Neodiprion lecontei: one gene and its partners. The protein of the gene in region 1 interacts with the protein of each later gene in a pairwise test. Links are inferred from orthologs where the notes say so. Each region holds a gene or a part of one and is shown in the gene's direction. Other genes may lie near its edges. The genes, in order: DAZ-associated protein 2, CLK4-associating serine/arginine rich protein and UBX domain-containing protein 6.

Region 1 (5,077 bases):
AACAAAATATTGACATGTCAACAATCTCTAACTTCAATCCAATCTCAAGATGTCCCGCTTCTGAGAGTCCAAGCAAGTATAAAATTATTCGAATCACAAGAAAATGAGGTACGGAAATAATAATTTTTATTACAAAGTTTATCAAAGAAGGCACAAACGACATTATGATCTACATGTACAAATTACCTCTGCTGCTAAAACTACTCTGCTTGAAGACTGGATCGTGTAATAGACTACCTGGAATGGCAGCAAACAATTTCACCAAGGGCATAGCTGTCTCCGAATCGAGTAGAAACTCTTCCACGTAAAGTACGTACAGCACAGCAGAGAGTTCGAATATTTCAGCATACGACATTACTGGAATGTGAATAATTTTATCGGTTGAGGAAAATGAATTTTCCCACACGGAACTGATGGCAAAAAACGGTTGGCCATTTAAGATATAATATTACAAATACAAACCTCCAGCTGCAATTCCATGAACTATATTGGGTTGTTTGACACGTTCGACGTCATTCAACGGCGATTTACCGCTTTTGGTGGACAGCGATTGGAGAAAAGACGGCAAAATCGGCGCGACGTCTGATTTGTACGACGAAACGTGCTGGCATGTGAGAGTTATTATCTTCTCGGCGTTCAGCAGAAAATCTGTCAACTGAAAAACACAATTTGAAATTATCGCGCGCAATCGCAGTACGATTTTTTTTCAATCATTCAAATTCCGAACTATCTTGAGAAAGTCGATTGCATGTTTCCCGAATTAACGGTCAATTTTCGAACATCATGAAGTCACTGAGTAATAACGATCACGATATTATCAGTACGAACAATTTTAAGCAGATTGCAGACAATGAAATAAATTGAATACAATTCAGTTACCGTCGCAATAAATTCGGTCGAGTGTTTCGCGTCCAGATCCGGACTGACGAGACAGGTGTACAAATCGTTGTTGATTTTATAAATATTCGATGCTTTGAATCTTCCATGCTCTATAATGCATATTTCGTTCTCGCCTCTGCCGAGGCTGCACATTCTCGTGAAGTCTGAAACAGAAACCTCGATTACGATGGTTTCGAAAAAATACTCTTCTTTCCCATTAGAGTACTGCAGAGCGGTAATTCTATTACAATGATACTAAAATCCATAGATCCTACAAAGTTAGAATACCAGATACGACGCTTCCTTCGACAATAAGGAAAGTCTTTATCGACGACGGCATCACGTTGTCTCCGGACCATCGTAGTTGATACTGGCTATAAAATAGATAGATATTTCATGTCTTTGCTGAACGTTCAGTCTAATCAATGGACACTTTCTTTAGCGTTGAATAGTTTAAAATCGACTACGGATAATTACAATTGCGAAGCATCGAGCTCGTCGTCGTCCCAAAAGGCTCGTGATTCCGGCTCAACAATTTCACCGAAAATTTGAGCCATGATTTTTGATATGTGTAATACTTGACGATGAACAAGAGAAACGTAACCTCACTTTTCTCCACTCAAATTAACAGCAAATGCATGATACAGCTGTTTCTAAGCGAGCCGTACGGCAGCGTCGGAGGGCGCAACAATGAGCAACGCGCGCAGAACTGAATTCAAACGATTCGATTTGCCCGCGAATAATTCTACAAATTTCATCGTCAGAATATGTATAAATAAAAACAAAAATCTCAGAAGGATATGCACTAAAATACAGTATTATTATATTACAGTGAGATTACGTACTAAATTTTACCTGAAAATAAAATACGAACGAATTATTTCAAGGCAAATTGATGAAATATGATTTCTTTCAATTTAACCTAAAGACACAAAATGGCAAAGTATTATTTTCTCATTGATATGGGTGTGCGAAAATAGGGAGACAGAAGTTCTTTGTTAATTTAAATACCATTTTAAGCTCTAATTAAAGACAAATCGTAAAGAACGAAAAACTTTGGAACTACGATAGTTAGACGATATTTGATAGGCGCAAAAGTTAGACGCTAGCCGGTAGCACAGAGTCGCCAATCTATACATCTTGGGTAGAGTGCGAGGCAGTTGGTTCGTTGAAGTCGTAGTCCGTCCGTCAGGTGGAGTAGCGCGTGTGTCTCAAGTGTCAAGTGTCAAGCAGCCATATTCTCGTATTCTAAACTCGAAACACAAGTAGAAATATTTGGTGATTTTAACGAAAATAATTATTAGATTGAATAAATAATCCGTGCGCAAAAATACCGTTTGAGCAATAATGACTGACAAAAAAGGTAATTATCCAGCAAAATATCACTATAATATCGAATGAAATTACCTCACGATTATTACGTTTTCAACAATATTATAATATACGAGAAGAAATAGAGAGAAAAAGAGAGATGAGATAGATAGGGAATATTTTCGATGTGATCTAAAAAAATAGAGAAAGAGAGAGAAAGAGAGAAAGAGACAGAGAGGAAAAAAAAGGAACGTTCGAAAATTAGGTGAAAAGTAGACGCGACAAACGGAAGAGAATCGTTGAAAATTAGCGAGCCTAACGCACGTCCATTCCTCTCCAAGGATAATTAACGTACTCGGTGTAAGTAATGAGCGATTGTTAGGTGCGGAAAATCCGCTCAATACTGAAGCAATCGAATCCCGCTCGGTAAATATCAATCGTATTCGGATCGGGCTTACGCGTATCGATTGAGCGTGTCATAAAAACCGCGTCCGGAACGAATCGGGATGCAGCATAAATTCGTTCGAAAAACTTGCAATGCACATCCCACCAAGTAGATCAATACTCCGGCCGACCTACCGACGACGCGATTCTAGTGTGTAGGAATATACAAAATGGCCACCGGCCTTGGAGAGAACCTGGATAGAAATTAAATGTACCCACGTATACCCCGCATCTCTTTTATGAGTTATGATTCGCGGAGGAACGTCTTTCGCTCAGTTTCTACGCGATCGTTATTTCACAATATCCGTAAAACATGTCCACAAATCGAACGGTCGAGTGAAAACTTTACGCTGATATTATGTTGCCTAGCTTCCAAGCTCAATATCATCATTAAATACATGTAAAACAAGCGTTGCGCTTTTGTCTGACGAAATGGAACAAAAATACGAATTACACATCTTGTTTCATTACGCTTGAAGAGTTTTATCATGAAAATGGAATTAAAAAAAAAAAAGATAAAAAAAAAAAATAAAAATAAATCGGGTATTCTGTATGCTAAATTGGAACCTCGGATATTGTTTACGAATATGTTTGATTGTGTTTAGTTCCGGTCCGCAGAAACGTATTCTTGATTTTCGTATGTTTCACTTATTTTAAGAATTCTCAAAGTCGCGCGGCCATTGGAAAATGTCTGTTTTTTGTCAAACGGTGTTTCTCTGTATCCAAGAATTCGTAACTTAGGGACTACATTCTCTATATCCGTAATATATCCTGAGTTAAGAATTATTTCATTATAATCGTTGATGGCAAAAAAAATTTGGTTTTTTGTAACGTCCGTAACTCTGAAATTTCTGAAAATAATACTGAAAAATATCAATGACGATAAATTGTTCTCTACATACGAGCCAAACGACCTTAGAACGGTTTTCACGATATTCGCGTAACGACTTACGGTCCAAAATATGGCTGATGGTAGCATGAAATATTTCACCGCAACGTCGAGCGAGAAAACGTTCCCACAATTCTGCGCAATCGGTCGTTATCTCGGCATTTTTCATCCCGCCGGTGTCTCATGCAATTTAAAATTATTATAGGGACAACCGAAGTATCTTCACACTCAATAATGATTGAATAAATGATGTTTTAACACTCGAAAGCCTTTGAATTGATAATAATTGTAACTAGAATACAGATTCCTTAGTTGTATTCCGATTGCCGAATCTTTAATTGAAACGTCTGGTGTGGTTTCTTTACAGTTTGAAAAAAAAAAAAATTATAATAAAACCACTCTCAACAAGATGCATGGTTAACATCTTCGTTACGAAATTTAATTTCACCCAAGAGAAGAAGAAACAAATCGGTGTGAAAGTCATGACAAATGACTCCCGGGAGTAAGTTGAGGTCGATCTTTTTTTTTTTTTTTTTTTATGAATTTTCAGGTACCTACCTACCGCCGGATATTTCAACGGAGTTCGGTTCGTCTCTCCTAGCAATACTTTTCGTCCTGAGGAAAAGGTCCTATAGGGTATGCCTGGCGTTTTCTTTTTTTTCTTCTATTGTTTTACGGTTTTTTGCATCCATACTTTCATTTAAACCGTGTGATCGTTAGACGTTCAGCGAAAGGAAAGTAAAAAGTCAGCTTTTCCCATATCCTTCTTAAAGAATGCAATTGAAGAAAAGGACGGGATAGTGTACAATTTTGTGAAAAAACTGTAAAGAATGACCATCAGTCGGTATTCGATATTTCAAAGCGCTGCAAGCTCAGACTTGGAGAGAAAAGAAAAGAAGCTCAATTCATAAAACCGAAAAACGCGTGCAACGAAATATTTTTATTAGACACAAATCAAACAGAGCGAATTCCTTGGTTCGTTAAACTTACGCAGCTTCTTGACAAGGTGAAAGAAAAAAAAAAGATGGCAATCGTAATCGATTCTCTTCGCGAGATGTTCAACTTTATTAGCTAGCTGAAGAAAAATAACTGCCACGGAGTACCGTTGAATCATCGTTTATGTCATCTTATAAGGTCGAATGAGGGTGTGACTCGAATTAGTTCTGATTTCAATATATTCCAATGAAAATTAACCCAATTTGCATATCCTTCTGACGTTCTGTATTCGTACATTACAGTTCGTTAACCTTCAACGGAAGGAAAGTGACTAATAAAACTCTATGCAAATTCCACTCGACAGTTTAACGATAATCCTACTTGATGATTAGGTGATAATTTTACTTAACAGTTAAACGATGATAATTGATTTGACTCGATGTCACGACGAATATTAAAAAAATCGAATACATGTGCGTATCGACATTTTTACCCATCTGGAATTGGTACCGAAAGCTTGAATAAAAAAAAAAAAAAAAAAAAAAAAAACAAGAACAAACAATTACACTCTTCTTAGCTGCGATTAATTATCGAGCGGATTATATTTTTTCGGGCACA
Region 2 (8,078 bases), on another chromosome or scaffold:
AGGATTAATGTAATTAATTAATTAATAATATAATAAATTTTATTAGCGCATTGATAGCTACTGAATATGTGCTTGCGCGAAAAATGAATCGAAATAATTCGATGTAAACATGACAAGTTTGAAATATATTAGATAAAACATATTTACAATTGCCATCAAATATTATAAAAGTGTTTTACACACCGAGCACAAATCCTCTTCCTCCTCGTCCATCTTGTTCTCCTCGTCTTCCTCGTTCTCCTCCTCGTTCACCTCTGACCGCCACCAACCACCGCCAACCACCTCCAACAACCACCGATAAACACCACGGATATACCTGGAATAGTAATAAATATCTTCAGTATAAGAACGTATCAAAAATATCGCGTGAGTAATAGTATAATCAATTAACCAATTTATAACATCATGAATTCTATTAGCGCATTCATAGCTACTGAATTTGTCCTTGCGCGAAAAATGAATTGAAATACTTTGTTTTAACATGACAAGTTTAAAAAATTTTACATCAAATATAATTACAATTCCTAGTCAAGGACCTGGACAGCCACAACTACGGAGCGCTTTTCCTGGATGTCAAAATCCACCAGGTGAAGGACCTGGATAGCCAGAACTACGGAAAATTAGTACTGAAGGTCATAAGTCACTAGCTCAGGGACCTGGACAGCCAGAACTACGGAGCGCTCGTTCTGGAAATCGAATTTCCCCAGGTAGCGGGCCTGGAGCACAGAAACTACGGAGCGCTTGTCCTGGAAGTCAAGTTCCACCAGGTAGCAGACCCGGAGCGCAGGATCGAGAAGGTAGAGAACCCGGTACTCGAAATCTGCAGAGCGCGATTCTCACCCGTCCGCTCTACTGCGCGGCTGTTTCCAGACTGAGGAATTCTGCTAGCCGATTTCAAATCGATTACGTCAAGAGAAAAAAAAAATTGGGTGACGTGACTTTCTGAACATCCGACATCCAAACTTTGGTTTGGAACTTTAGTACTATGTATGATGATGTATGATGTATGATGTACGATGTATGATGTATGATGATGTGATATGATGTATAATGATTTTAGTTTTCACATTTCATACAAGAAATACGCACTTTATCTCCCCTGCCGATTCCAGACTCAAGCGGCCAGGCCCTTCGATGGTCCGCCGTTGACTGAAGATATATCCTTCAGTTAACGGGTCGGTTAATAACGCTGCCGTTCTGCGACAGTTGAATGATGAAAAATTTTACTCCTACCTTTCAAATGTGTGTTAAAATACGCTCGATGTTCTAAGAAGCTTCGTTCATTCTCTCTCTATCATCTTTTTAGCTCCCTAAATCACGACACTGCGTTAAATACTGTCTCATATACGGTGAATCCATTTCATCTCCTTCAAAATTAGCGCACTCGTGATGTATTACACTTACTCCGAATTTTTTTCCATCCGAATACTTACTTTCCGAAAAACAATTCTGCTTCTCTACCTAACGTAGATACTTTACTCTCGACTAGCTAGAACAGCGTTTCGATTATATTCCTACGAAAATTCAAGATCGAGAGAGCAAATGAAAAGTTGTTGGAATAATTTTGAATATTAATGTTATGGGATACATCGAGCGCGTGTCGAATAGAATCCCATTTTGAAATGAATAATTTTTCTTCTTTCACATTATAGCCATATTATTGTAGATAATCTAGTTTGTCTCCGGAAAATTATAAAATTTATAGTATGCATCACGTAATCAGCGCAGTCCCAACACGCTGTGAGCAACGCACAAAAAGGTAAAGCCGAAAAACAAAGAATTTTATCCATTTGAGCATTCTGATTAGTTTGTGAAGTATAGTCAACTAATCAGAATGCTTGAATGGTGGGAAATGTGAAAAGTGAAATTACAGATTACAGAAATCAGACGGTAATGAGAAAATCTACCTTACCCAGGACATGGACAAATGGAGGAGCCGGAAAGAGACCACCAATGATCGTGCTTCATCAGCCATGGATTCCGGTGGATTCCGGTAAGTAAACCATCATGGCGGGGAAGCGCAAGAAGTGAGTGAGCGAGTTGCAGACTTTCAATTATTTCGTGAAATGTTTGAGTAAATGAAAGTATTGTGGTATCCCGAGTGACAAAGGCTACTCATCGCATCCAAAATGAGTTTTTCCGTGAAAAAAACTGGCGGACGGATGTGGCACGAGGCACGGAAGCAGGAGAAGAAGATTCGTGGAATGTTGGTTGACTACCGTCGACGGGCGGAACGTCGCCGGGATTATTATGAAAAAATTGTAAGATATTTTACTCACGGGTGAAACCACCACTTTTTCAACCTATGTAAACATATTTCCAAGTATTTCTGAATTAATTCTCGCAGTTTTGTAGCAGTCTGCAATTTTTTCATCGCTTCGCATAATCGTATGGCCTATTCACAGATTGTAAACAATTTTATTCACAATTTGATTATATCAAAGAATATGATAGATTCTTCCTTGTCATGCGGCTTGACCTGAGCTTTCCAATTTCGATTTATCTAATGGAAATTTACAGACATTGTCTCTTGCATACATGCAGTCTTGACAGATTTCTGACAAAATACTCTCTTGATTCATACGAACCAAAAATTATTATCAGCTTGTTAGTTTCGAATAATGTAATTTCTTACTTTTGGGTTTTATGTCATAAGAAAAGCCATTCGTTTGTGACATACAGTGGATCCACACTGTTATTTTTCTGACTTGCAACGCAAGATTAACGCAACATTTTTTACTCTCAGAAATCAGATCCCACTCAGTTTCTGCAATTACATGGTAGGCCATGCAAGATTCACCTTGATCCAGCTGTGGCAGCTGCCGGTGCTAGCCCTGCTAACATGTAAGTGAAACATAATTGTTTATTTTCCATCCATTTTTCTAAGTTTAGCATGTTTTAAGAAATTTATCGTTGAATGGCACTTGAATGTGAGAATCCTCATCTCACATTTATCTGAAATTCGTTGTATATTGATTAATTCACAGGATGCCGTGGCAAGGGAATGACGAAAATCTAATTGACCGTTTTGATGTCAGAGCGCATCTAGATTGGATTCCAGAAGCTCCTGATACTATAGATGTTGACATTGCGCTAACCAGTGAAGATAGGCATATCAATTATGAACGTTATCGTATAATCGTTCAAAACGAATTTCTTGGAGGTTTGGATTCATCGATTCTAACATTTATTTGAATTCTGCTACAAAGCTAAGTACTGGTTGACTGTCTGAGAATAACATGCTCTTCATTTTGTTTATAGTAACAGAGGAAAAATTTCTACATCAAATTCACATAGAGGAACAGTTTGGTTCTGCCACCAAGCCCGATGCAGCTAAAGATAAAAAGAAATCAAATGCCAATGCTGCTATCGGATATAACTATGAGACAGAAGAACCCATTTCAGATCCAATCAAGCCAGTAGAAACCATCGGTGTAGAGGATAAACCAGAAGACGAAGATAGTGATATTGATTTAGGTAAGTTGCATAACCCATAAGTTGACGAACTTCATCAGCTCACTGTTGACCTGGAAATAAATTAATTAATAAATATCAAGGACCGATTATTTTATGCAGAATGTGTGAATTAATTGGATTTGATGTACCTTTAGACATTTGTGTGGATGTATCGCAAATAGAACCATCGCAAGCCCATGAAATGAATCAGGTAGCTCAAAAGTATGGCCTGCTTGGTGCTGACTACTTCAGTTTCTTGACACAAGATGTCGAAGAAGCAGAAACACTACGGCAGGCTCGCAAGCAAGAGGAAGAGAAGGCCATGTATTCGGTTTGTTTCAGTGGCTTACTTATTGTTAGAACTGTATGATTAACGGGTATTTATTTGGAAAATTATTCGAAAAGCAATAGATACTGTCCGCAAACCTTGCCAACACCTTGTTTGAATTTCGTAATTTATATGTTACCAGGGTCGACGATCGAGGAGAGAAAGACGGGCGTTTCGGGAAAAGAAAATGATTGGTCGAGTCATGAGTCCACCAAGGTAATTACCAAGATTTATTTCACATCTAACGTATTGTAAGATTTGGTCATTGGGCCATACATTAATTTAACCCCCTCTTTTTCTTGTGGTAATTTTCTATCAACTCAGAAAATTGTTCTGTCAGATACTAATTAAAACCAAGGGAAGACCTACAGCATTGAAACTGTATTGTCTTGATACTTTGTCTTCATTTCAGAAAAATTGCCACTAGTCTGAATAATTGAGGCTACAGAACAGCTTGAAATCCTTTTAAATGTATAAATAATTTTTTATACACTCTACATTTTGTATAGTCACAATATTTGTCAATAAAATTTGATAAAAAGAGGTTGACCATCATTATTTTAAATGTCGCGTGGTTAAGATCTTTCTCGTAACCATTTAAAACAATCTATGATTCGTAGTTCAATAATGCATGACAAAGTCAGAATATCGATTAAAATTATTTTGCGAACAATGAATGCATTACTATAGCAATTTTTGTGAGTTCTACCTTGAAAAATGAATTAGCACAAGTAAAGTTTTTATTGCTAAATACATAACGGTGTGCGGCAACTTGACTAGAGTTTAAGCATTTTACTTCAATCGATTTACCAGTGAAATTCTTATGACAAGTTCAATACCATAATAACAAAAAATGTCCTAGTTACGCAGCCAGAGAGAGCCCGGAATACAATCCTTATAGAAAATCATCTTCGAAGTCCCGCTCAAGATCTGCTTCTCCAATCAATGCTGGACAAATTACCTACATCACAAGCTTTGGTGGAGAAGAAGAAGCACCTGGTAGTTCGTCCCAGATTACTACAACAAATATAAAAAAAGTTACTTATTCTCATTTGAAGAGAAGGCGATCAGAAAGTCCCGTCTTCACGGACAGAACGATTTCCCGAAGAATTTCGAAATCCAGATCACGAAGTACTTCCAGATCGTTAACTAGATCAAAATCATACAGGTCGCGTGACAGGAGAAGAAGTAACTCACATTCTAGGTAAGTTGAGGCTTGACCGACAAGTCCTTACCAACATATTATCCTTTATTAACTTGTATCTGAATAAAGTCGTATGCGTAAACGCGTTTAATTACATATGTATCTCTTAGATTGAGAAGCACAGGTTCCAGATCAACCAGACATGCAAAATCTAGAACCCGAAGTCGCTCGAGACACAGACATTCAGGAAGTAGATTACAACAACGCTCACGTACCCGAAGTGTATCAAGATCAAGTTCAAAATCAAGGTCTAGGTCGCGTTCGAGGTCTAGATCTAGATCTAGATCACGGTCACGTCAAAGAAGGTTACGGTCTTCCTCGCGCAGTAGTTCTTCAATTTCGAAATCAAAGTCGCGATCCAGATCACGAAACAGGAGTCGGTCCAAAGAGAGTTATCGCAGAAGACGTTATTCTCAATCAAGATCAAGAAGTCGTTCCAACACAAGGCGATCCAAAAGTGTTGACAACAAAACACCTGCTTTACCTAGGTGCAAAAACCAAATTACTGTTCTTACTAATTTATGAGGCTCATTCCATATGTTTTAAATTGTGTATTGCTTATAGATATTATGGTCGGAGAGGCAAGTCTTCCAGTTTAGAGTTGGAATTGTCTGATAACGATGAAAAAAGTATTCCACCGGCGCCTAAGCCTCCGATAATCAGCGCAAGCGTGTAAGAACACCTAACTAAATCATTAATCGCGTACTGTTCTCAAATAATTAATACTTTGGTCTTAATTGAGTATATCTGTTCGATTTCTAACTTCGAAGGCTTAATCATTGTATAAAATTGAACAAAACATGATTTTCTTATAGATTTTGTAAAACTTAAACCAAGGTAAGGCGAACAAAGTTTTTAACAAAATTCTCTCTTGTTTCAGGAACAAGCCAAAAGCAGGGTTAAGTACATATTCTGGTGGCGGATACAAAGTCAGTAAGAACCATAACGCTTCCTTAGTCACTTAATACACAAAACAAAAAGAATAAATATATTTATTCGGTTTCTACTATCGCCTAACCAGACGTTTTAAACTTTATGAATTTGTTCTATGGAGTTGCAAATAATAGAAAACGATTTTTGCAATTCAATAGAGTAATTATTTAGCTTGAACAAATCTTTGAGTTGCTGTGATAATTGAGTTGAAGACATGCTGGAGACAGTACCCGTACACACAAATACAACACGATCATGTTCTTTGACCAAGGCGACATCTTACTACTAATGTTCTCGTTACGCGCGGCTTAATAAGATAATTATAGATACTTGTCTCTCTAATGACAGATCCAAACTTACAGATATTTTTAACGTCAAGTTTACTAACAATACGTTCACACATGAAGATAATTGAATTGATTACAATTCAATTCAAGTCTGTGTGTCAGACGAATGAATTTAGTTTTAGAATTTTATTTACATTTTTCTTTTGCTAAATATCAATCAGAACGGCATGATTAGACTAATTATTTAATATTTGCACCAAAGAATTGAATAGTTCGTAATATTACCAATTCTATCATTTGCCCGTATTTGCATTTACGTTCTAGATAAATGTTCACGGTTGCTTCAGGTTTTTGATAACGGACAATTTTATTTTCTCTCCGCTCCCTCATTCAATAGTTCAATGTTTTTTAGAATCTTTAGTTTATTAAATTTCTAATTTGTTCCAAGTTGATGAAACCTTTGGAATAAATCAGAATTCGGAAGTGTGTTTGTGTGGAGCTAAGTACAAGCACCTCGCACATGTAAGGTAACTTCTCAAGTACATTAAACTATCAAAAGGAGGGTTCAGAAAGAATTTCAGCAGAAGGAATCTCAAGTTGTAGAAAATCAATAAAATATTCCCTACACAATTCCTAACTATCGCGTCAATAATATAAATAAGAAATTTCGATAAGTTTCGTTACGGCTCTGTTAAACTACTTTGCGGCATATTTCAATTGAAGAATTTTTAGGTGAAATGGTAATTGGTAGCCTATACACTTTGCGCAACTACACACTCCAGAAATGTTAACAAATCAACACTTCTTCATTGGTGAACATTGAAGAACTAACGATCTTCAATTTTATTTTGTCCAGATTCTTGGTAACAGTGACATTTTCCATGTTTGATCCTTTAGTAGTTATCGTTATTGAGTTTATGCTTGGGTTAAAATCATTTTCCTTCAATGACACAGTGTATCTGACTAAAGTAATTTTAGAACATTTATATATCACTGATTTCATAATCGACTATTTTTTAAGAAATTAATATTGCAGTCTTCAAAAACCACACCTCAAGAGCGGCTTAAGAAGAAAATGCAAGCACTGCTTAACAGGCAATGTAAATAATAATAATTACCAAACCTAAGCCAGTTTAATATCGTAAATGTACTGGAAGTATGTTGACCTTTTTACTTACAGATAAAGCAGATAAAAAAGCTGAGCAGCTACGAATTGAGAAAATGGAGCAGCAAAGGCAGGATCGTGAAGATGAGATTCGAGAGATGTCCTTAAAGCTACGTCGAAGGTCCTTATGTCAAATTTCTTCTGAAACAATTATGGCTACTCATTAATAACATTAAATTATATTTTTATTTTTAGGCAAAGAGAGTTGAGGCATAAATATGAAGGGCATACTTCTGACAGTAATTCCTCAAATTCGTGCAGTCCGAGTCCAAATCGTAGCCCCAGACTCCAAGTGATCCGGAGAGAAAGAAGAGACAGAGACATTAGAGATATTGATATTGGAAGTGACCGGGATAGGGACAGGGACAGGGACAGGGAGAGGGAGCGGGAGAGAGAGAGGGAGAGAGAAAGGGAGAGGGAGAGGGATAGGGATAGGGATAGAGACCGGGAAAGAGAGAGAGAGAGGGACAGGGAACGGGAAAGGGAAAGAGACAGACGTGATGATAGGAACAAAGACAGGCATGATTCGCGAAGAAGGCACAAGGAATCTCCAAGGCCAACTTCCAGTCCTAGGAATAATCGGTAAAATCTAAATTCATACTGATCATTATTTTTACATTTAATTTTTTGATGTCGATCAACGCAACAAACGAAATTCGTTTTGAGAACTAAGAACAATATCATTAGCGAACAGATAGAACTATT
Region 3 (7,554 bases), on another chromosome or scaffold:
AAAGATTCCGAGGTTCACTCATTATTACTCCTTCAGCACTCTTGATGTCAACTTGGGGCATTCGGGTGAATTTCCATGGTTACGAAATATTCGGACAAAGGCGATCGTTTTTCATTTCGCTTTGCCTTATCCTTCGTGTACTTTCTTGTGGGATATTCGACCAAATTGGCCACGAGCCATCGGCTTATCGCCTATTGTGCTACCGCAAGTTTTCACGTTAAAAACGATTGAAAACGCGGTCTTGCCGTAAATACTTACAAACGTACTAAACATTCTCGTCGTGAAACGCTGTAGGCTTCACGTGTGATTTCTAAAGAAATTCCGTTTGTCACCTCAGAAATCTTCTTGCAAGATTAGTAGGCGTTACGCGATGGCCGAATGAACGCTGAATCACGCACTAAATGCAATTGGCAGCTAATTACGAAGAGTGTGATCGGCTCGTTTCGAGGAGTATTATAGGAAACAAAACGTATTATTAATCGTAATCATATTCGTAGTATTATCACGTGTGATTTTAATCCAATGTTAATACATCACCGTTTGTACCGTAGTTCATGATATTTATTAATCTTAATTCAAGTTTATACGTTAATACCTATAATCGATATACTTATATCGTAATGCAAACTGTATAAAATGCATTATTTCGTAAGAAAATTTCTATACAAGTTATTCTCCTATCCCATTACTCCTCTTACGCTGCGCCGTGTGTTCTAATTAAAATTTGGTGAGATGTGTCATCTTATATTACAACGCGAGGCTCAACCATGGGTTTAAACCTTCATTTCTTTCTCCCTTTCTGACGCTAAAAGTTCCGAATAACTGTAATTTTCAATTTTTTTTCAGATCAATTCGAAATCATTGTATCAACCCAAATATTCATTTAAAAAAACCGCAATATAGATTAGTCTAATCGATTAGTCGCGATTCTGTTCAATTTCCTTTTAATCCGAGGTCTTCGGAATTCGAAATATATCAAGGTACTCCAATAGTTATTCAGCCATTTGTAATATTTCTTCTTTTACATCAGTTTTAGTATAGTATCAGTAAAAATGGGGAGAAAAGTCGTTCCAATATCGTCCGATTTATTTGAATTAAACTTCAAACGGGTAACCAATAACTCGAACCCGCTATCTGGGGGCAAATGATTTCGTAACGTTTTGCTGTCATCATCGGCACTGCCGTGGTCAACCTGACTTCCAATTGTCAAATCCAATCCGAGGTATTCATCCTGTTCGAGGTAAATAAAAAACTGTCGGATGACGATCCGTCGGTTACCGACTGGTCGTAACGGAACCGGGAACTTCGCTGAACGAAGACAGCATCGTTAGATCGAGAGCTGTTAGATGTCAGTGGTGTCGGAGAGTTTTCTGGGGGAGGGGGGATAGGACGCCGCTCGTGTTGTCGGTAAGTGTTCAGTCATGGTAAAGAGTCCACCGTGGATAGGCGTGAACGAATTGAAAGTCACGTGCGGCCGAATTCCCGTTCCGTACGGTCGGGATTATAAAAATCGTCGGTGTGTCAAGGAAACTCGGAGGGTTTGAGGAGGAGTAAAAGGAGAGTAAAATTGAAAATAGAAAAAGGAGAACGAAAGGGGATGATCAGGTGACGCGTGTGATGATCAGCTTATGCGAGGACTCGGCTCCTGGGAGCGGTTCACTCTTGGACGAAATCAATACAATCGCCTGCGACTTGGCCAGCTTCGTACTCGCGACACTCGGCTTGCTAACCTCAAACTCGACGGGCACATCGGCGAGTAACGAAAACGACGCATACGGCCAACAACACCAGACGCTACTTGAATTTTTCCAAGAGTTTTCCGCCTGGCTCGCCTTCGACGAGTTTCAGCTCCAGCTCTTCAAACTCTTCGCCTTAATCCTCGTCAGCAACGTCGCCCTCATATACGTTGCTTGGCACGTTTACGGCGATCGGATATCCGATCGGTTCATGAAACCAGGTCAGCCAGGAAAAACAGATTTGACAGATTTGGTCACGTTTTCTTTTCACCTTTTCTCTTCTCACGCGTATATGCATACTTGCGTACTGGCAGACTCGTGGCATTGCGTCACACCAGGGATCAACTAAACGTAACTATCATCTATATCATATTGAAGTTAGCAACGTTATCGTGACGATTCATGCCGAGGGAAAACCGTTATTTCACGATTTTGGAAGTTTCGGAAATTCATTAAACGGTAATAAAACAAAACATTCATTTTTCGAAATCTCAGTTTTTTTATAATCAGTGTTGTAAAGTTACGAAAATAGGCATTTTTTCCCCAACGTTTCGTCACGATAACGTTGCTAACTTCAACCTCGTTGATCCACGCATTACGAATTGCAGTAGTCTGGTCAGACTGGTTCCCTGCACCTGCGTTCAGGTATATCTGTTGTGTCTTAAGTAACCTCGCAGGTAACGGTCGCCGATGCTTTTACACTTAGTTTCACATTTTAATTAATGTGCGCCGTGATCAATCATCCAGTGTCATTAGTCTGGATTTGTGTTGTATATAGAGGGCATTCCATTTTTTAATTTAAAAACAAGCTCGGTCACGCTGCAACGTATTTATGCTGAAATTTGCGAACTTCAGCGTGTTCATATTGCCGTTCAATTTTATCCTTTCGAGTAGGCACACTAAATCAATTTTCTTTTCACCGAAGAACTTGGCAGAGTGAAAAAAATATCTGGAATAAAATCGTTTTCGAATACTTTAGTTATAAAGCACGTCAATCAAATGCAAATTGTAATTGTCACGGAAGGTAAGATAAGTATACCCTCCTAACAAGACCAGAATCGTTTCGGTCGTTTCATTTCGGGATCATCTTACGAATTACATTTATGCACTGCATTTACGCAATGCTACCAGACGCTTGCACTGTATGCAAGATGTGACCTTCACCTCTACATATGTACGTATTTGTTGTTGCTATAATGTATAACAATACAACGTGCATAGCGTTATTTGATCATACGTGTGGATTACAACTACTTATTCAGGTTTTACTTCAAGACGAGGAAGCGAAACGATTGTACCTAACATTGTCTACCTCACAAACATATTATCTCTGAAAACCTACTCACTCGACAAATGTTATTTTTCATACTAAATTTGGTTTCATAGAATACCACAAAATTGATAGCGATAGTGCAGGACACGTATGACGAGTTAACAGTCATTCACTGCACTGGTGTAGGTAATATACATGTGGCAGGGAAAGTTCTGTGCATGCATTTTCTCCATTATTTGAAGTTGTGAGAATATAGTATTATTTATGTTGTAAACTAGTTATAGGAATATAATACACTAATTACTGTCCTGTATAAGTCTTGATCTGAATATTTTCACATGAAAAACGGTTTGAATAGAATGTTTGTTTCGTACTTTTGCACATTCTTATCTTGAGCTTCCTTGTCTTCTGTGCGTCACAATTATACAGACGATGCACTGATAATGGTGCACGATAAAATGGAAAGCAGTAATCTTGAAGCATTCATCCTAATTAATGACTGCAGAATTCATCGATTGTTTGGACGACGTACGGGGTTGAGCTTCGCGGAAAACTTTCCGTTATAGTCGTACTCTTGGGTGTACATTGCACTGTATATATTATAACGACCTTGAAATTCTTAACATATCTGTGTGAAAAAATCGATTTCTTTTCTCGTCTAACTTTCGTTCCCCACTTGAAATGATAATTTTGTAAAGATAACAATGTTCATAATAATGAAAATGATCATCCATCTGTTTTAATGAATGCGACACATCTTGTAAACGACTGGAAATTCAACGTGAGTAAAAATAGAGGAAAGGATATTTTAGGTATTTAAAGAGTAATCAATTGCGGCAGTAATTGAATCAGTAGAGGGCCTATACAATGTATGTACATGCGCGTAGTAGGACTTATGGATTCTAAAGCAGCGGTCAACGGTAATATAGGCGTATATCTGTCATGCTTGGACATATTTGAAAACAGTAGGTTAAACGTAACGGCCAGCGGTAGCTTACAATGTCCCCAAACTCATTGTATCATCACGGTCTCTACTGAAACAGAAAAGTTTTTATGAAGAAATATTTCATATAATTTAAATACGTTCAGTATTCGTGAAGACAACTTTTGTAAAGAGTCATAAAAATTGTAGCAATTCAAATTAGACATAGTACCAGATCCAAGTATGCAAAACATTTCCAAATTTGGTGTATTTTCCTGTAGATCATATTATCTGCTTCTGTTTCACGGGTGGCATAAAGTTCTCGACTAACGACAAGTATAGTATGTAATTATACACCCACAGAAATGATGCAGTTAAGACTGTGTAGCCATGTGTCTAGAGATTCCGAAAACTCTTGACGCCATCCTCGCAGAGCCAGGTGTATATTTGACCCATTTTAAATTCGTACACTGCTTTTTCTTATCGCATGTATTAATACACAGCTGACTATATGGTATGTGTACTCATAGATTACTTTTCACCTTATTGGTAGTTGGAGTGTGTTAATGAAAATTTGTAACTTTCAGCGACTTCTGCTGCCGTTGAGGAACTGAAGAAGAGCGTCTCCCGATTGAAGTTACCCAAGGAGCATTCCCCGCGGGTTTAGAAAATCATTCACCAGCTAACTCTTTATCGAGTGCCAACCGAAAACAACTAACATGGCGGACAAGATCAAAGCATTTTTCCAGAAAAAGAAATCCGATGCCAAATTTAAGATGGCTGGAAAGGGGTACAAGTTAGTATTAAACGTGTGATACGTATTCACTGTTGCAAAAATTAGTCAGAGAGCTGTCAGTCACTCCGAAATTTTTTTTTTTTTTTTCTATTCGACAGGCATTTAAGCGTTTTGAAGTTTTTGAACTGCACAACTACAAAGAAAACTAAGATTATATTCTTCTTTTCCGTGTTTGCAGATTAACCGAATCGACGAGTTCATCAAAATCGAACTCTAACGAAACAGTGAAGCCAGTGACGCGGGCGGAACCAACCACAGAAGCTAAAATTGCAGGACAAGCTGCCCTGGCGAGGCTCGAGTCGAAGAGGCCAGACCCGACAAAGTTCAACACGTAAGTTCGGCCAGGGATTTCGATTTCGTTCCTAGTATACCTACATGATCATTAATCACGATGGATGAACAGTTTACCAAAATTTTGCTCACTTGTTGCTTATTCGCAGATCGTACGCGGCTATCCAGGCACAAGTCAAACGAGAACTGGAGGCGGAGAGAAAAGCGGCGAGTAATGAGGCAAAGGAAATCGCGCTGCCAAAGGAGCAGAAAATCCCACAGGAGGTCGAGGCAAACCCGCTGCTCGCTGTACGCGGGGTTTATTTTCGCTGTCCGATTATTTCTGACGAAATATTAACCAGGGACGAGTGGAAGAGCAAGATTCGACAGTTCCTTTACGAGCAGCTCAATTACGAGGAGCCCGGACTCACCGCCTGCCTCATCATTCATAGTTGTAATGCCGGGAAAGAAAAGGTTGAACAGTGTGTCGAAACCATGTGCAAGTACCTTGAAAATATCATCAATAATCCGGGGGAGGAGAAATACTGGAAAATACGAATGTCCAATCGGGTATTTCAGGTGTGTAGAAGGGTTGGAATAACAATGTAAGATACCCGAATCGAATGATTTCTTCGTGAATTTAAGCGATACCTGTTCAATGTGTAGGACAAAGTGAAGCCCGTCGAGGGTGCCTTGCAGCTGTTTAAAGCCGCTGGGTTTGAGATGGTCAAACTAGCGCATCAGGAACAGGAAGAGGACTTCCTGGTTTGGAATCCGGAAAAATCTTCGATCGAGCAAGTCGGTATACTGGTTGATGCTCTGAGGACGGCAGAGCCCGTTCGAATTGAGTTGGACAGAAACTTACAAGTCTTACTGCCCAGTCAGGCAGCGAAAAGAAACGAATTACCTCCAATTTTCTTCACCATATCGCCGGAGGAGATTAAGAAGGAGCATCAGCTCAGGTGCGCCACTATTTTTCTTATTTTGGCTTGAAAATATAGCAGTTGACACGTATTGGCAAAAATTTATTTCATAGCACAGGTCTGAAGCGGTAGCAAAGAGTCAAATTCTCCGTACGAAGGCGATGCGGGAAAAAGAGGAATTGCGAGAAATGAAGAAATACCGTTACGCCTTGATACGGGTGCGTTTCCCGGACGGGGTAATGCTTCAAGGCACCTTCGCGGTTTACGAAAGGGTCGAGAACGTCGTAGAATTTGTCAGAGAGAATTTGATCAGTGACGAGATACCGTTCGTTTTAACAACGCCGACGGGTCATCGTCTCGGGAATGAAGACTATGAAAAGACCTTGGTTGACAACAGACTGGTCCCCGCATCAATACTGAATTTCAGCTGGGATACGGAGATTTTAGATACCAAGGGACCCACCGAATATCTCAAAGAAGAAATTATCTGCCTGATACAGTCCACGTAAGCCTCCTCACCCTAGTCGAGCTATGATTTTATCGTCATCACCTTCCACTCGACAATGGTAAGCACGGACACTCTAGTTTCACACGAAGCGAAGTTTGGAGTCTTTGTTATTGTTCAAGCTATAGAAAAATCAAATTCTAACACATTGGTAGAAAACGATGCAACAAATTAACAAAATTTTCGATTTTGAATGAGTTAATGGGTGACCATTGTGCTCACGGTGCTGATTGATTGTAGACATCGTCGCGTTCCGCCGTCTCACACACGGTTTGGTTCTGTTTTTGATATTCTACAAGACGATGAAACTGAAATCAATACGCAAGGGAAAAAAGAAACTTGAAACTGAATAGATCAATTAAAGACGGAGACAATATTCTCTGCTGTCTGACGTCGAATTATGACATGCTTACGTCTTATTATACCTTTTAATAGAAATGTCCCCCCTAATAATGCGAATAACGGGATGTTTTGCTGAATGATTGCCAGGGGTAAATGCAACACTATGGACATACAGGTATTGTACACTATTGATAGCAAAATATTCTCTTTGTAATTGAATCCATACTTGTTAAAAAAGGAAAAAAAAAAAAGACGATTGGAATAAATATCACGTTTTATTTTCATTTCTGTACTATGTGCTCATCATTTTTTCTTGTACACTTTGTCTCCTACCCAGTTCGGTCAATCGTGTAGAACCAGAGAATTTAGACAGGCTAAAATTTCTTGAGCGTCATTCAAAAGAGTGGTAATTCAATTAGACTACAGTTTAATGTAAGCTGGGATCAAAAATATGAAACATCAAGGAATACTCTTGTTACAAATGGTCTAGATTTATACACCGCTTTTCTTCAACCCATCATTAGACTGCCCACGATATCAACTCGTAAGAACGGCGTAGAAAAGAATTTTATTCAACTTTTTCCACTGATGGGTCTGCATGAATACGAAGTGGGCCAATGTCAAATTCTATTCCACATGTTCGATACTATATCGAGGCACCTTGAAATCATAATCAGCGCGTAAGTCCGCCTTGTCACAGGCAACCACCTCAGACTCAAGGAATAGGTAGCGTCCTCGGTGGGAATTAACGAAACTGTTTCGTCGCAGACCACAGCAGGCTGGTCAG

The links.
Region 2: the proteins of DAZ-associated protein 2 (region 1) and CLK4-associating serine/arginine rich protein interact in a two-hybrid assay, tested with the Homo sapiens proteins (2 studies listed by BioGRID and IntAct). The link is inferred for Neodiprion lecontei from reciprocal best matches to the Homo sapiens genes DAZAP2 and CLASRP.
Region 3: the proteins of DAZ-associated protein 2 (region 1) and UBX domain-containing protein 6 interact in binary tests that used the Homo sapiens proteins (3 or more experiments, as listed by UniProt). The link is inferred for Neodiprion lecontei from reciprocal best matches to the Homo sapiens genes DAZAP2 and UBXN6.

Annotation. Positions count from the first base shown.
Region 1 is NC_060264.1:32,150,207-32,155,283, forward strand, and holds the start of DAZ-associated protein 2, read left to right. Parts: upstream 1-2,044; 5' UTR 2,045-2,226; coding exon 2,227-2,242; intron 2,243-5,077. Other genes in the region: uncharacterized protein LOC107217142, read right to left, coding at 187-357, 463-655, 880-1,043, 1,168-1,253, 1,357-1,436. UniProt on the Homo sapiens protein: In unstressed cells, promotes SIAH1-mediated polyubiquitination and degradation of the serine/threonine-protein kinase HIPK2, probably by acting as a loading factor that potentiates complex formation between HIPK2 and ubiquitin ligase SIAH1.
Region 2 is NC_060265.1:19,892,418-19,900,495, reverse strand, and holds the start of CLK4-associating serine/arginine rich protein, read left to right. Parts: upstream 1-1,985; 5' UTR 1,986-2,129; coding exon 2,130-2,261; intron 2,262-2,746; coding exon 2,747-2,844; intron 2,845-2,987; coding exon 2,988-3,163; intron 3,164-3,261; coding exon 3,262-3,477; intron 3,478-3,611; coding exon 3,612-3,787; intron 3,788-3,926; coding exon 3,927-4,000; intron 4,001-4,646; coding exon 4,647-4,988; intron 4,989-5,098; coding exon 5,099-5,476; intron 5,477-5,552; coding exon 5,553-5,660; intron 5,661-5,868; coding exon 5,869-5,917; intron 5,918-7,244; coding exon 7,245-7,308; intron 7,309-7,388; coding exon 7,389-7,494; intron 7,495-7,568; coding exon 7,569-7,955; intron 7,956-8,078. UniProt on the Homo sapiens protein: Probably functions as an alternative splicing regulator. May regulate the mRNA splicing of genes such as CLK1. May act by regulating members of the CLK kinase family.
Region 3 is NC_060260.1:40,958,902-40,966,455, reverse strand, and holds UBX domain-containing protein 6, read left to right. Parts: upstream 1-1,948; 5' UTR 1,949-2,087; intron 2,088-2,462; exon of another isoform or gene 2,463-3,790; intron 3,791-3,852; exon of another isoform or gene 3,853-4,043; intron 4,044-4,518; 5' UTR 4,519-4,650; coding exon 4,651-4,727; intron 4,728-4,905; coding exon 4,906-5,058; intron 5,059-5,167; coding exon 5,168-5,576; intron 5,577-5,663; coding exon 5,664-5,959; intron 5,960-6,038; coding exon 6,039-6,429; 3' UTR 6,430-7,051; downstream 7,052-7,554. UniProt on the Homo sapiens protein: May negatively regulate the ATPase activity of VCP, an ATP-driven segregase that associates with different cofactors to control a wide variety of cellular processes.